Linked DNA regions of Danio rerio. The protein of the gene in region 1 binds, or shares a complex with, the protein of each later gene. Links are inferred from orthologs where the notes say so. Each region holds a gene or a part of one and is shown in the gene's direction. Other genes may lie near its edges.

What was found.
Region 2: the proteins of cacna2d1a (region 1) and cacna1ea are in contact, whole or in part, in a cryo-EM structure (PDB 8EPM), measured with the Homo sapiens proteins. The link is inferred for Danio rerio from reciprocal best matches to the Homo sapiens genes CACNA2D1 and CACNA1E. Residues at the interface, in NP_001353796.1 of Homo sapiens: Thr170, Asp171, Tyr173, Ile233, Leu235, Ser261, Gly262, Ser263, Ser265, Gly266, Leu267, Lys270, Ala327, Lys328, Gly329, Ile330, Thr331, Glu366, Gln391, Asn393, Tyr394, Ile416, Gly417; in NP_001192222.1 of Homo sapiens: Gln110, Leu112, Pro113, Glu114, Asp115, Asp116, Lys117, Pro119, Arg122, Asn630, Phe631, Asn632, Asp633, Gly634, Ile1330, Gly1331, Asn1332, Val1334, His1336, Met1341, Val1343, Arg1346, Arg1393, Ser1394.
Region 3: the proteins of cacna2d1a (region 1) and cacna1c are in contact, whole or in part, in a cryo-EM structure (PDB 8WEA), measured with the Homo sapiens proteins. The link is inferred for Danio rerio from reciprocal best matches to the Homo sapiens genes CACNA2D1 and CACNA1C. Residues at the interface, in NP_001353796.1 of Homo sapiens: Thr170, Asp171, Tyr173, Ile233, Leu235, Gly262, Ser263, Ser265, Lys270, Thr274, Ala327, Lys328, Gly329, Ile330, Glu366, Gln391, His392, Tyr394, Ile416, Gly417; in NP_955630.3 of Homo sapiens: Phe147, Pro148, Glu149, Asp150, Asp151, Ser152, Asn153, Ala154, Asn678, Lys1090, Gly1091, Asn1092, Tyr1093, Ile1094, Tyr1096, Gly1099, Val1101, Pro1104, Ile1106, Arg1109, Tyr1156.

What each region holds. Positions count from the first base shown.
Region 1 is NC_133179.1:20,474,482-20,479,672, reverse strand, and holds the start of cacna2d1a (voltage-dependent calcium channel subunit alpha-2/delta-1a precursor), read left to right. Parts: upstream 1-1,828; 5' UTR 1,829-1,923; coding exon 1,924-2,030; intron 2,031-5,191. UniProt on the Homo sapiens protein: The alpha-2/delta subunit of voltage-dependent calcium channels regulates calcium current density and activation/inactivation kinetics of the calcium channel. Plays an important role in excitation-contraction coupling.
Region 2 is NC_133183.1:16,585,480-16,589,931, forward strand, and holds part of cacna1ea (voltage-dependent R-type calcium channel subunit alpha-1E), read left to right. Parts: intron 1-2,607; coding exon 2,608-2,736; intron 2,737-4,452. UniProt on the Homo sapiens protein: Voltage-sensitive calcium channels (VSCC) mediate the entry of calcium ions into excitable cells.
Region 3 is NC_133179.1:20,902,001-20,907,125, forward strand, and holds the start of cacna1c (voltage-dependent L-type calcium channel subunit alpha-1C), read left to right. Parts: upstream 1-2,021; 5' UTR 2,022-2,413; coding exon 2,414-2,540; intron 2,541-3,304; exon of another isoform or gene 3,305-3,553; intron 3,554-5,125. Other genes in the region: dcp1b (mRNA-decapping enzyme 1B), read right to left, coding at 1,454-1,520. UniProt on the Homo sapiens protein: Pore-forming, alpha-1C subunit of the voltage-gated calcium channel that gives rise to L-type calcium currents. Mediates influx of calcium ions into the cytoplasm, and thereby triggers calcium release from the sarcoplasm.

The sequences.
Region 1 (5,191 bases):
GCCTCCTTTGACTTTTTTTTTTTTTATTTCCTAAATGATGTTAAACAGATTCTGGAAATTTTCATAGTATGTCTGATAATATTTTTTCTTCTGGAGAAAGTCTTATTTGTTTTATTTCGGCTAGAATAAAAACCATTTTTAATTTTTTAAAAACAATTTTAAGGTCAAAATGAATAGCCCTTTTAAGCGTTATTATTTTTTGATAGTCTACAGAACAAACCGACATTATACAATAACTTGCCTAATTACCCTATTCTGCCTAGTTAACCTAATTAAACTAGTTGAGTCTTTAAACGTCACTTTAATCTGTTTAGATGTGTCTAGATAAATATCTACTCAAATATTATTTACTATCATCATGGCAAAGATAAAATATATCTGTTATTAGTAATGAGTTATTAAAACTATTATGATTAGAAATGTGTTGAAAAAAATCTGCTCTCCATTAAACAGAAATTGAGGAAAAAAAATAAACAGTGGGGCTAATAATTCAGGGGGGGCTAATAATTTTGACTTCAACTGTACTGTATTATGATTTTGATATGGACATGTTATAAAACAGCAGAAAAAGAAGAATACCAAAATAGTGCTATTTCTGTGTCAGGTGTAAAGGCACAACAAGACAAATCAGAAACCATTTAAAGATGTCACACCAGAAATTGCAATATTTTGGACATGTCTGAAAGAAGTGGGTCAGAGGGCCTTCAGCAGACTTCACATGATGGAGAAATGGTTGGAAAAATTCAGTGTAATTTGAGATTTTGAGTAATGCAGTCTATGCATTTTAAATGTAATTAATTAAAGTCTATATCCAATCCGGCTGAGGCTTTCCTCCCATGTGTCACCCTCGATCTTTATGCCCAGTTCCTATTATCAAGAATTTTTCTAAAAAGCTGCAGTTACTCAGCTCTTGAAAAATAAAAGTACAAAATCTGAAACCAAATGTTTGGAATCAAGTGAGCCTATTATAATAGCTTATAGACGCTTTTTTCCTCTGGCAAAGATTAAAAATTGGCTATTGCATGATGTACATCATTTCTAATTTGTAAATGGCGAAAGATGTGTGTTGCAGGAAGGGAAAACTTTTAGTTAATAAAATAGTTATTAATATTATTATTATTAAATTATGATTATTACTGTTAGGTTATTATTATAAGACTTTCAATAATAATAATAATAATAATAATAATAATAATAATAATAATAATAATATAATTGTATTGTTTCATTTTCATAAGAGAAGAATTTTTTAACTGCCTTTTATAATTGTTTTAATGTTTAATTTAGTAGAAACTCACTGTTAAAACTTATTTACAGTATTTGCAAAATATATTTATCTACAGAATTCATAAACAGTAAACACCTACTATTCACTCTCTGACAAATACAAAAAATCTATCTATCTATCTATCTATCTATCTATCTATCTATCTATCTATCTATCTATCTATCTATCTATCTATCTATCTATCTATCTATCTATCTATCTATCTATCTATCTATCTGTCTATCTATCTATCTATCTATCTATCTATCTATCTATCTATCTATCTATCTACTTTCCTGTCACTCAGTCGTTGATGGCTCGCAGCGCGTCTCGGTCTCCTTGTATGGAGCGACACGCGTGATGCTGATCGCGCACAGATGGGTGGGGGGCGTGTGGAAACCGATCCGCCACAGCGCACAGTCTAAAAACTGACTCTTTACCGTACAGTCAAACCGGAGAGAGACGCACGGAAACGCCCCACACCGGACTCCCCCGACACCCTCCAAACTAATTCAACAGGGCAAAGGCAGAAGTAGCTGGAGGGACCGAACGCATCCGTGATTTGTTTGTGGAAGTAGCGGCGCTCATGGCGGCAGCTTGACTGTTCTCGGAGGGTCACTTGAGTGGATTTTAGTGGGGAAAAACTCGCGTGTTGGATGTCAGTCAGAAGAATGATGGATGCGCTCAGATTGTCGACCGCTCTTCTTCTACTTCTGTCTTTATGCAGCTTTGGAAGCGCTATACAGTTTCCCGACTCATTTCTGTAAGTAGACGGAACAAAACTTGTTATTGCTATGATTACTAGTTGTTACTCTCAAAGAGTTGGCCGTAAAAGCGTAATACTTTAAGTTTTTGTTGTATACTAATAGAGTCAGGCTGGTGATACTCCAACCACAAGTTGCGTTTCGCGTTCATTCTGCTCAGCTTTTTATAGTTTGTAGTCACACATGCGTGAGACGCACGTCCGTTGAGTTTGGTTTTTACGATGCCATGAGAAATTAAAGGGACAGTTCACCCAAAAATGAAAATATGTGGATAATGTACTCACTCGCAGACCATGTAAGATGTATGTGACTTCCTTTTTCTTCAGTTGGAAGGAGATTTTACCTGAAACTGCCGTCGTTATTTATTTATACACTGTGGGGGAAAAACATAGCCTAGAGGCATAACAAAATTAATAGGCCAAACTGTGACACCTGACAATACATTTAAGTCTTGAATGAAGAAAAATTACCAGTGTGTGGAGGTAACTGACATTATTTACCACATTACATCGACAAATGGTCCCCGGTGTGTTTTACGACAGTCTGGATTTCCTGATAGTATACTTGCATAGTGGAGAAGTCCATTTGATGTGTGCATTTAAAACGGAGAGACGTAATATTTAAAGTAAGTTATTTGCTAGACGTCTTCTGTCTGATGTCAAATAGACATTTGTAATATGTCTTTTAGGTCTAGTTTAGAATGTTTGCAAAAATCATGTTTAATCAACTCTTTATTAACACATTATTTAAGACATTTTATTCAAAAACATTATGTACGTGTGCATAGCTTACTTATGCTTATACTGGTTGCTGGAACCTATATACTGTAAAAGTCGTATGTAATCATTATATGCTCACATTCTCTGGAGGCTATGGATTGAAAGTAACAATGTTCATGTTCACTTTTATTTCATTTTCATTTATAAAATAATGTTTATTTTCATGCACAGAATTTTAAACATCTCATTGTATCATCAGGAGCTCAGGTATTAATTTTATTTCGCCCATATATGTATTTTTTTACTTTCTAAGTGGCTGTAGCTGTTGACTGGCATTTTATGGATCACTTAGGATTACATTTTTAATTAAAAACCTTGTTTAATGTTCTACTGAAGAAAAAAAAAGATCTTGGATGACCTTATGGCGAGTAAATTAACAGCACCTTTTTATTTTGGCTGAAAGATCCCTTTAATGAGATATTTAATCCAAAAATAAATAATGTTGCTCCATGTTTTTTGTGTTCTTCTGGACGAAAAAAGAAATTTAAGCCCCACAGAAGGGCTTTCTTTTTTACTATGCAGTATTTACTAAGTTTCAAAATGTCAAGTCTTAAAATAGAACATGAAATCACCACAGAAATATCCCAAAAGTGATTTATATCACTCATATCGTTATCAAAAGGCACCTATTTAACTCAAAATCTTGACTCTACTTGACTCAAATCTTCAAGATTTGTTGTCTTTTGTGTCTCCAGAATGTGTCTGTAAAGTTTCAGTTCCAAACACCCATCAGATTATTCATTATAGCTTTCAGTATATTGTAATTTTCTGCTCTGAACACAATTTGTAGCTGTTTTTGTTGCCCGTGCCTTTAATGCTAGATCTCCCTGCCCACCGTTGCCACATGCCTGTCACAGTGTGCCTCAGGCCCCGTTTACACTAATGCGTTTTAGTTTGAAAACGCATAAGTTTTGCTATGGTTACGGCATCCGTCCACACTACAAAATGCAGCGTTTTGGAAACACTGTAGAGCCTGTTTCCACTCTAAAACGCTGCTGCTCCGTCTCAGTGTGGATGAAGGAAAACAGAGACATCTGAAAATGGAGGCGGGGCTGCCGAGATTTGCTAGCTGATTGGGGCTTTTGTGTCATTGTGAATCTTTCCCTTATTCGTCAAGCCCCTATCACATGACTGTAACACATGGCTTTAACGCTATATCGGAAGACAACAGACCAGCCTTCACTGTAAACAACAACATGGACACAGAAATGCGTTGTTTGCACTATTGTCTGTTTTAGGCGCCATTGTGCAGTTAAACTCTGCCTTTTTTACCACAGCAGCGGCATATATTCGCTAGAATGCACATGCCCAGAGTGCGCGAATGGTCACGTGATATACGTTTTTGGTGGCGTAGTGTGGACGGAGATATGTTCAGAAACGCTAGGTGAAACGCGAGTGTGGACGCGGATCGTTTTTGATCTAAAACGCTGTTTTCAAACTAAAACGCACTAGTGTAAACGGGGCCTCAGTCTCCTGCTGCATCAGATAAACAGCACAGTGACAGACACGAAGGAAGCAGATCTCACGTTACATTTGTGAGGAATACTACAGTAAGAACTTTCCCATTGATTATTTATTTAATGTATTTGTTGTGGAGTAAATTCAAGCCTTTCTGCAACAATGAGTCACACACAATGTTGTTACAAAGTTTGCGCACATACACAGACACACAAACACAGCACGCAAATGCTTAACTTTGATTAAAGTTTCAAGTTTTTACACGGCAAATGTGACAGGATATACATTAATATCCACTGCTGTATTGATAACCGTAATGTTGATGTACAAAATAAACCTGATTAAGCGTCCACAGACCAGGATTAAAGGGTCGTCTTTCATAATTGTAGTGACATGCAGCTGTAGTGATAAAGACGGTAAAATTGCTATAATTCATTACAAACATCCACTGTTTTAAAAACGTTTTAAACTTGTAAAAGTCATTCTTGATCACATTTGATGATAATTGATGATCACAGTGAGCTGAACAGATTTACTCTTAGTTGCTTTGCGCACATCCAATCTTGTTGTCGTGTTATTACGGAGACATGTTAATACTCAGCTGTCAATTTGGTGGGCGGGGAAACCGTACTCCTACGTCACGTTGTGGTGAGCCACAAAATGGGAAGTATTTGCATCCTATTTTAACGTGAGCAAATAAAAAAAAAGAGACTTATTGTCTTTATATGACTCCTGTGGACACACTATACACACAGTTCAGTCCAAACAGCTTTCAAAAGAGGAGTTTCATCATAGGTGCCCTTTAAAACTCTCTTGGTAAGTCAATTAGATACAGAATATATGTGATGAACAGATTAAATATAACTTGATACTCATTAAAAATCTTTCTATTTCTATTATTTTATTTTCTGTGACGTACAATT
Region 2 (4,452 bases), on another chromosome or scaffold:
CTTGTGATCACGACTTAATTATCTCATCATCTCGGCATAACAAAGTTATGTTGTGATCACAACTTGTTTTATGTATTTTATTAATGTATTGATTTTTATTATTATTATTATTTGATATTATTATTATTCCTGCCTAATATAACCAGGCCACCGATATTCTTTACATGTACTCTCTGGCCTTTAAAACAGAATATTCCTCATGTAACTTAATGATTGCTTATAATGAAGGGGCAGCACGAGTGTTAAGACTAGAGCAGTGAGTCTGCCTAACTGCAGACATGCATTCTTGCAACACTAACTTTCAGAAAAGCTATACTAATATGAGCTCAAAACGCTCATGCTCATAATTAATCTACGTTCATGATTATATTCATGTATATGATTATTGTTGTAATTTTCAATCAATTCCATGCGTGTTCAAAAAAAAGGTCAGGAGAGGTTTTTCTTCAATGTTCAAAATCTTAACAATTTATTGGATACAAATTAATAATTTGATTCAAAGAATTCTGTTATCCTCAATGCAATGCAAAAGTTACATTGAGGAGGCGCACAACCACTTTCTTTTCCTGACTCCAACTTATATAGGCAGCTGATATTAACATGTGGAGTTTCGTCAAATTCGTCATTTGTCAATCATTGTCCAGTCCATATGAATTTACATGAATTTAATTTTGCACCAGCATTTATCTACTTCTGCAAAAATGCTAAATAGTATGCACAGCATCCCACACACAACAGTAGAAGTTGTTAATATATGACCCTTACATGACCAATACAAATAATTGTTTGATTAAAAGAAAAAGAGACAAAAATAATAAAAAAATTATTCCTATTTTCTAAAATTTTATATCATAATTTACAATAAAATCCTCTCAACTGTTAAACTGTTAAAGCAACTTAATATGGCGCCAAATAACTTGCTGCATTTATGAATTAAATTATGAAGAATGCTGAAGATCCTGCTTTTGCTTTTTTCATTTCCACAAGTTATTTACAATGACTTTAAAAAGTGAGTTCCTGCAAATAATGCGATATGAAGCTACTGTATGCACATTGCCATGGGAAGTATCTATTGTGTTTTTGATGGAGTGGTCATAACGATTAATCTGTAATTGATCGTTAATTTAAATCAAGATCGATCACAGGACTTTGTTGAAATTGACATCCATACAGACCAACTATGTTATTTTAAATGAAGTAGTTAGAAAACAATCCTTTTCCTGCGAGTTTGGATCCGTCATATCGTATCATTCTCGTCACTCCTGCAGCTCAGAGATGCTTGTAACAGACGCGCGGTGCTTCCCACATATCTGTAGCATAACATGTCCAGCTGAACTAAACTGATTCTTATAAAAATGATTTAACACTTCCGTACAAGCCTATGTATTGCACACTTAACTTAGCCCCCCGTTCCCACGGCTTCAACGTTAAGCATGCCTAGGGCATCCAGGCAGAAAAAAATAGGTTGTGTGGTCATACATTGGCCAGATATTATTATTATTATTAATAATAATAATAATTATTATTATTATAATAATAATAATAATAATAATAAATACATAAATAAATGCTACATAAATTAAAGCAAAAAGATAAGTCGTAATCACGACATAACAACTTTTTGTTATGTCAAGATCAAAACAAAACGAGAAAAAAAATATTTTTAAGCATGGCCTCTTACGACATCCGTATTTTACAGTTTAATTTTGACCTTTTAAGTTTTAAAATAATCATATTCTCAAAAGTCAAACCATAACTTTTCATCTTAAAATTTTGGACCTAATATTTGTAATTATATTTCATCTCTATTTTTGTGTGGCAAAAATGGTCTTCTATGAATGTCATAAATGTGCCATGTGATTGTGTTGAAAGCTTAATTATCAGAAGGTCATCTGCATGAACATCACCTCCCTGGTTTCCACCTTGCATGATGCTTCTACCTTTCCAGACTTCCCCACATTTGCAGCTTTTTTGCCATCTCTTTATTATTTGTTTTCTGGCCTCGTAACGGTAGTGCTTTTAGAGACTTGTGTTCTTTCTTTCTTTCTTTTAGAGGTTTGGAAGGGTTTATTGATGTGGTTTTTCAAGGTTAGACTTCTAGGTCAAGATTATATAACCAGTAAGCAGTTACACACAAGCCTAGATGTCTTCCTGTGCTCTTATGTGTCTTATGCTCTTATTTTCTATCTCTCCTGGTAGCTTTTTTCTGCTTTTTTCTTATGAGCTGTGATATAACGCTAGGGTTTTTAAGTTGGTTTATGTTTGAATCTCTGTTGTGCAAGAGCGCTTGTGTTTACGCCCAGTATCTGTGGCTTCTGCTTTGAAACGCTCTACACCCCCTATCAGTTGCTCATGCGTATTGGCTACGTGTTTTTGCTTACGACGTGTCCTTTTGCCACTTTACTTTTCCTCTATGGATTCTTATTGAGTAATAAAGTAATAAAAAAGGAGATTTTTTTACTTTAGGCTGTAAACCTTGCTGCAATTCAATTCTATAACAATAATTCTATACATAATACACTTGATTCTGTTATAGTAAGTGTATTTTTAAGTAAGGACTGAATGTCTTTCCTCCTCCCCGTTTTTCTCCTCTCTCTAACTGCGTAGGTGCCTGAGCACAAAGAATTTAGCAGTGTGATGTGCCCCACTAGCATGCAGGCTGATCCACTGCAAGTGCCAGGAAGAGGCGTCTCTATCCGAGCCTCTTCCATGCCTCGCCTGGCGGTAGAGCCACAGGTACTGCCTGTGTTAGCTTAGACTTGCGCTGATAACTAGCTGCTTTCTCTAATCCTACACTGTGATTAGCATCATTGTGGGCATTGGTTCCAAAGTGGGAATGGAAGCAGTGGGTAGAAAGCTGTTGTTTTTCATTTGGTGGGACTGTGATGGCAATTTTTACTGGAAATGTTCCCTTAAACCAACTTCTGGTGTGTTTATGTTGCAGTGATTATAAAAAGGTTATTTATGAAAATATAACAATTAAATATAATAAAATAATTAAATATAATTTTAATAATGAATTATACACAGAAGGCTACATCAATATCAGTTACACACACTGTCAATGATACATTATTATTATTTTTGCTATATTTATATGTTTATATGTTTCAGTATAAACAGTGCATCCAGAAAGTTTTAACTTAAAAATTTTTTTATTTTACAGCCTTATTCCAAAATGGATTAAATTAATTGACTTCCTCAAAATTCTACACACAATACCCCATAATGACAATGTAAAAAAAGTTTTTTGAAACTGTTGCAAATTTATTACAAATAAAATATCTGAAAAATCACATATACATAAGTATTCACAGCCTTTGCCGTGAAGCTCTAAATTGAGCTCAGGTACGTTCTGTACCACCTGGAATTTGCCAAAATGCATCTGAAGGACTCTCAGACCATAAGAAACAAAGTTCTCTGGTCTGATGAGACTAAAATTGTACTCTTTGGAGTGAATGCCAGGCGTTACGCTTGGAGAAAACCAGATACTGTACAGATTATTACCAGGCTAATACCATCCCTACAGTAAAGCATGGTGGTGGCAGCATCATGCTGTGGGGATGTTTTTCAGATGCAGGAGCTAGAAGAATAGTCAGGATAGAGGGAAAGAGGAATGCAGCAATGTACAAAGACATCCTGAATGAAAACCTGCTTCGGAGTGCTCTTGACCTTAGACTGGGGCGACGTTTCATTTTCCAGCAGGACAATGACCCAAAACACACCACAAAAATATCAATGGAGTGGCTTCACAACAACTCGGTGAATGTCCTTGAGTGGCCCATCAGATCTAAATCCAGATCTAAAACCAGATCTAAATCCTATTGAACATCTCTGGAGAGATCCGAAAATGGCTGTACACCGTCGCTTCCCATCCAAACTGATAGAGCTTGAGAGGCTGTGTCAAGCTTGTGGCATCATATGCAAAAAGACTTGACGCTGTAATTGCTGCCAAAGGTGCATCAACAAAGTATTGAGCAAAGGTTGTAAATATTTATGTACATGTGATTTTTTTTTATATTTAATAAATTTGCAACTATTTTGGTTGTGTGTAGAATTTTGAGGAAATAAATGAAATTAATCTGTTTTGGAATAAGACTGTAACAAAAAAAAAAAAAAAAGTGGAAAAAGTGAAACGCTATGAATACTTTCCGAATGCACTGAGTGAGTGTGTATATATATATATATATATATATATATATATATATATATATATATATATATATATATATATATATATATATATATATATATATATATATTCAGTTTAATGACATACATTTTATATATATATATATATATATTTATTAAATTTTTTAAGTATTTTTATACTTAGAATTAGTACATATTATATATGCTTTAAATGTTGTCAAATTTTAGATAGTTGATTAACTGGTGTGCCTAAAGTTAACCTGTATCACTTTTTAATTTAGTGAGGATGCTTTAACCAGT
Region 3 (5,125 bases), about 430 kb from region 1:
TTTCAGAAGTGACAACAACATTGAAATACTTTTTTCAATTGTAAACATGTCATTTTTAGAAATTTAAATTTAATTTGGTTTGTTAAAATCAGTTGCCACTAGTGTTGGGGAAAGTTACTTTTAAAGTAATGCATTTCAATATCGAGTTAGTCCCCCCAAAAAGTAACAAGTTGCGTTATTTAATTACTTTTTAAGTAATGCATAACATTACTTCTGTCATTACTTTTTTTTTTGCTGGCTGTTTTTTTTAATAAAGGAGCTCTGTAATTAACAATGCACTGTTTAACCCATACATTCATTTACCTAAAACAAAAAAAATTAAATAATTTAAAATTTAAATAATTTAGCATGATGTTATTTTCTGAGAACTTCCTGACCCAAGAGCTATACATGCCGTATATACACACTTTATTGACGTTTAAAGCAATGTGTATGGTACTTTTTGTTAAATACTTTTGTTTTTTGTTTACTTTAGTTAAGTAAACAAAAATGTGTGGTTTGGTACTTTTTGTTAAATACTTTTGTTTTTTGTTTACTTTAGTTAAGTAAAATCACTGCCCATCAAGACAATTCCCTTTTTTCTTTTCTTCAATGTGTTCAAAATAATGAAAATACTTCCATCACAAAAATGTATGACAGCCATCTTCGTTTCTCTCTGTTCCTACGGGAGCACAGTCTCTCATTAATTCAATGTGACTAAGTTAATTTTAATTCAGCAATTACATTTATTAAAAGGTGATTAAATAAGTTAAAAAGTAACTTGCATTAGAAAACAGTAACTCCATTATTATTACTTAATTTTTTTAAGTAATGTATTACTTTTTTTCGTTACTTATATAATATTACGTAACTTGCGTTACTTGTAACACAGCTGTACATTTCTAAACTGTTTACAAAACATATTTAGGCAATAAAGAAGGTATAGACAACTAAATTTAGTTCCATTGTGAATGTGGCCTAAATGGAAATTATATGATAATAGAATGGACTACATGCACAGCTAGTATTTTTAGCCATTGATAAGCTACCAGTGAAAGCTTTACGTGGCTATTTTCAATTTCATTAATGTTCTTTTTACAGCATCAATGTTGTAATGTAATTCAAATACAATCAGTTAAACAGACTTAATCATTCATTTAGTTGTTCAAGTGTAAAATGAGATAAAAGCCTCCAGGAGCTTCAGGCTAGCGCAGAAACTCCATTAAAAATACTGTGGTAAAATAAAATTTCACATTTTAAAGACGTGGTGGGGTAAATGGAATTTAACGCAATGCTTCTTGTCCGGTCTGAGATCCACTTCATATTGTATATCTACCAGACTGTGAAGATCACTGATTTTGAAAGAAATCAGATCTTAAATGTGGCGAATTTGTAATGTAAAGACCTGAAATGCAAATACCCCATTAAGTGTGTGACCATGTTGTGCAAGTTTGCAGATGAAAGATACACATACTTCTTCATGAGTTCTGCTATACGCTGACAGTCCTCTTTATCATAGAACCAGATTCCATAGATGGACACTGCCAAAAAAAAATACACATACATGATAATATTAACCTCAGTCACTCATTTAATTAAAATCAATCAAGAGCAGAAGACTATAATTGTTAAGCACCGTATCAGAATTGTCAGTAGAAGAAGTCCATACATGCACTTAAACTGCCATCATACATACACACTCCACTCTAGCTGACATTCCTTTCCCAGACAGTCCAAACTCCCATGTGCCCAAGTAGAACTGGAGCCAAGTGCTCTGCCAATCCACCAAAATGTCGTTAACCACCAAAATGTAGTTGCCAGATGCTCGCATCAACATTCTGTTGCCTTTTTGAAGAACAACTGTATTGGGAACAACTAAGAGAAGTTTCAGTGACTGTGGTCTCTCATGAACTAAACTTAGAGACTGGTGCTGACAGCCGAATCAGGACCTGTTCCATTCACCTCTAGAAGAGATAACAAAATCCAAGGCAGTAAAAGAGAGGGAGAGGAAGAGAGAGAGAAAGAGGGCTGGTGCTATATTCACAACCGTTCATTCTCTGAGCGGAGAGCACCACACGGGTCAGCGCCTGGGGAAAAAACCCAAACAAAATACTGCCTGGGAACTGAGGAACACAACTCAGAGAAAGAGAGAGAGCAAGGAGAGGAGAACAAGGAGAAGAACGAAGAGAAGGATGAGAGGATTTTGGAAGCGCTTTTGAAGTTTAACTTGGCAAAATACACACACAAAAAAGAAAAGAAAAACAGAGACCTGAACCACACATTGAGTCAGACAGAGTGCAGGAGCATTTGCTGCGAGTTTTACTGAATGGAGCTGAATCCACATGAGCACTGAGGAGACTGTGAACTTGTGACCGACTTCAAATAGACCAAAGCTTCAATCTGCTGAGGATTCAAACCTCAGAAAAAAAAGGAGATGCTGCGGGGGCTGTTCAGTTGGCGCAGGCTGAAGCATGAGCGACTGGAGGAGGAAGTGGAGGTGCGGTTCAAAGGGAAGCTTGTATCGGAGAGAGAGCTGGGCTACACACATGTGCGGCCAGGAGGTAAGAGCTTTGTATACTTAACAGTCCTGCTGAAAGTCTCCAGCTATCCCGTTACAAATCACAACCACAACACTGCGTTTGTTTAAGAGATGAGTGGACAGAATCCAGCACCCTTGGCACACGAGGAGGAGCGATGGACAATGCAGGACTTCTCGCTGTGTGAAACCTAATTAGTAGTGTTTGTTATGGCCATATTGGCTCTACCAAGTATTTAGCTGTTAATCGGGTACTGAAACTGTTTGATCCAGGTCATGAAGGATTTAGGGTGGGACAATATTGGGGGGAAAAAAGTAACTATTATAAGAATTACAACTGCAATTTGACTTGAAAGTTTTATAACAAAAAATGTCAAGGCTATAAAAATATCTTAGCGACTTGTTTATGGCTGTAAAATATTTATGACATGCTTAAATGTTTTCCTTTTACTGAAGAGCCGTGGTTTACTCAAACACGCTCATACATAAATTCACAGCCTTTTGATATACTCACTAAGCCTCATTGCGATTTTGGTTTTATTTTAATTAAACATTCAGTCATTCTGCAAAGAACTCGTGAGGATTGTTGAGAACACCGGAGTATAAGCCAAAACACCTTAGCAATCGCATTGCAATGCACAAACAGCCACTAACAACATTTGACAAATGCAAATCAACTTCTTGGCTACCTCTCACAACATTCCAGCATTGGTGCAGCAAGATTGATCAGAGATAAAATCCCCTCAAGGGGAATTAAATCAGTGAAATAGTCTGCCTGTAAAATCTCACCTACATCAAAGTAGCCAGCACAAAGTTTCCCATCAGACCGTCAGCAGATGCACAGAATTTCACGGTCAAAGCTCATTATTGGACTGGCTGAAACATCAGGATCTACAATGATTTGTTCAATAAGCCTAAAGTAGTTTCTCTACTTTGAAAGCCTAAAGCTTTTCTCCATGCACTCTATTTGCAGGTCTCCTTATCATGAATTTCCTTGGAAGCCTGTGCATGTATGCGTGTTAGAGAGGGTTGTTATCTAATCAGGATTGGTTGGTCGGGTCTATGATGCTGGCAGGAAACTGAAAGAGAAACACACACTTCTCTGCACCATATAAGGCACTGTGGCTCTGGGGCCTCTCAAACAGGCCCGCCTGCCAGCGATCTCTGATCTCTCGTTCTCTCACACACACATACACTCACCAGTATGACAGCTTTTTCAATCTAGACACACTTTTACTGCAATTAAGCTCTGAAGTTTTTGGATGGATGCACTCCCTCTGCTCCCTGCCCATCTACACCTTGGTTATTAACATGTGTTTCTGTTTGACATTGATCCTCCTTAATACATGTCAAAATTCATTTATATCAGTCACATTTGAAGGTGGTCAAACTTTTGTCATTAGCACAGTCGGCTGATGTCTGTGAACACCATCTGTGTGCAGCCTGATTTTTTTTTTGTTCTTGCAGTCTAGTGCATTGAGGGGCCAGTGATTTAATGTGCTTCCACATTCACAGTCAATTAATTTTGAAAGCGTTGCTCACTAAACTGTGCATGAGATGGAGCAGAAAACTGAAAACAAAGTTTACCTGGGCCTTAAACACTCATAAATCTGAACATTAGTAAAAGACTACTTTCTCACCAGACAATCAACCTCTGAGCATTCCAAATTAAACACACATTACCCTTTGTTGTAAATGGTGATGCAAGCACGATCCCTAGACCTATTTGGAAATAAATAAATAAATAAATAAAAATGTCTGGTGATCTCATTTGAACAACCAAAAAAACTATATCACTATTTCACTGCCACTATTAGGGCAGAGCAGACGGATGCTGAGCTGCTTATCTTTTTGGAGGACGCCCAGCACATATTAAATGTGTCTTTATAGTGAACCCCCTTGTCTACCCCTACATAACACAATCATTAAGATACATTTTATTATTGACTAAAATTGTGCACAAGCAAGTTTCCTTTATATTATATAGTCTATTTAGATAATGTATAGCCTGTGGTGCAAACAAATAAGTGCGTAATATATGTTGACCCTGCACCTCATCATTTCTCTTGTTCACTTTCTCTTTCACTTATGCATTCCTTTCTAAAGCTCGTATCCGGATATAAACTAACATCATCACTGTAAGCAATAGTCACAATCTATTTTTTAGATGTCTGGATGATGTTTTTTTCTGTTTTAAAAACATTTTAGATGTGAGTCAGTCTGTTCCTGCAGGCGAAATAGAGCAAAGTGAATTTTAAATGACATCAGTGATAGCTTATTAATATGACCAAATAATAATAATTAAATCACTCTTTATCTTGCCATCTTGACTACCTCATGATAAATTTGTCTAAAGCTGCATGCGCCAGCCCAGGGAGAATGTAATTGATGGAGGAATATTAAAAAATTTCCATTGTAAGCCAAAAAAGGTTTTGTGTGCCTGCATGCAAGCAGTCCTTCTGAAAGAGTTTGTAGCATCGTCGTAAAGCTTTAACTTCAGAGAAGTGCATTTGTTTTCCTGATTAACTGATTACAAAAGATAACGAGCCTGAATGTCCTTTTGTTAAATTTAATTTGACAATAAATCAGCTAAATTCAGGTCCATTCATT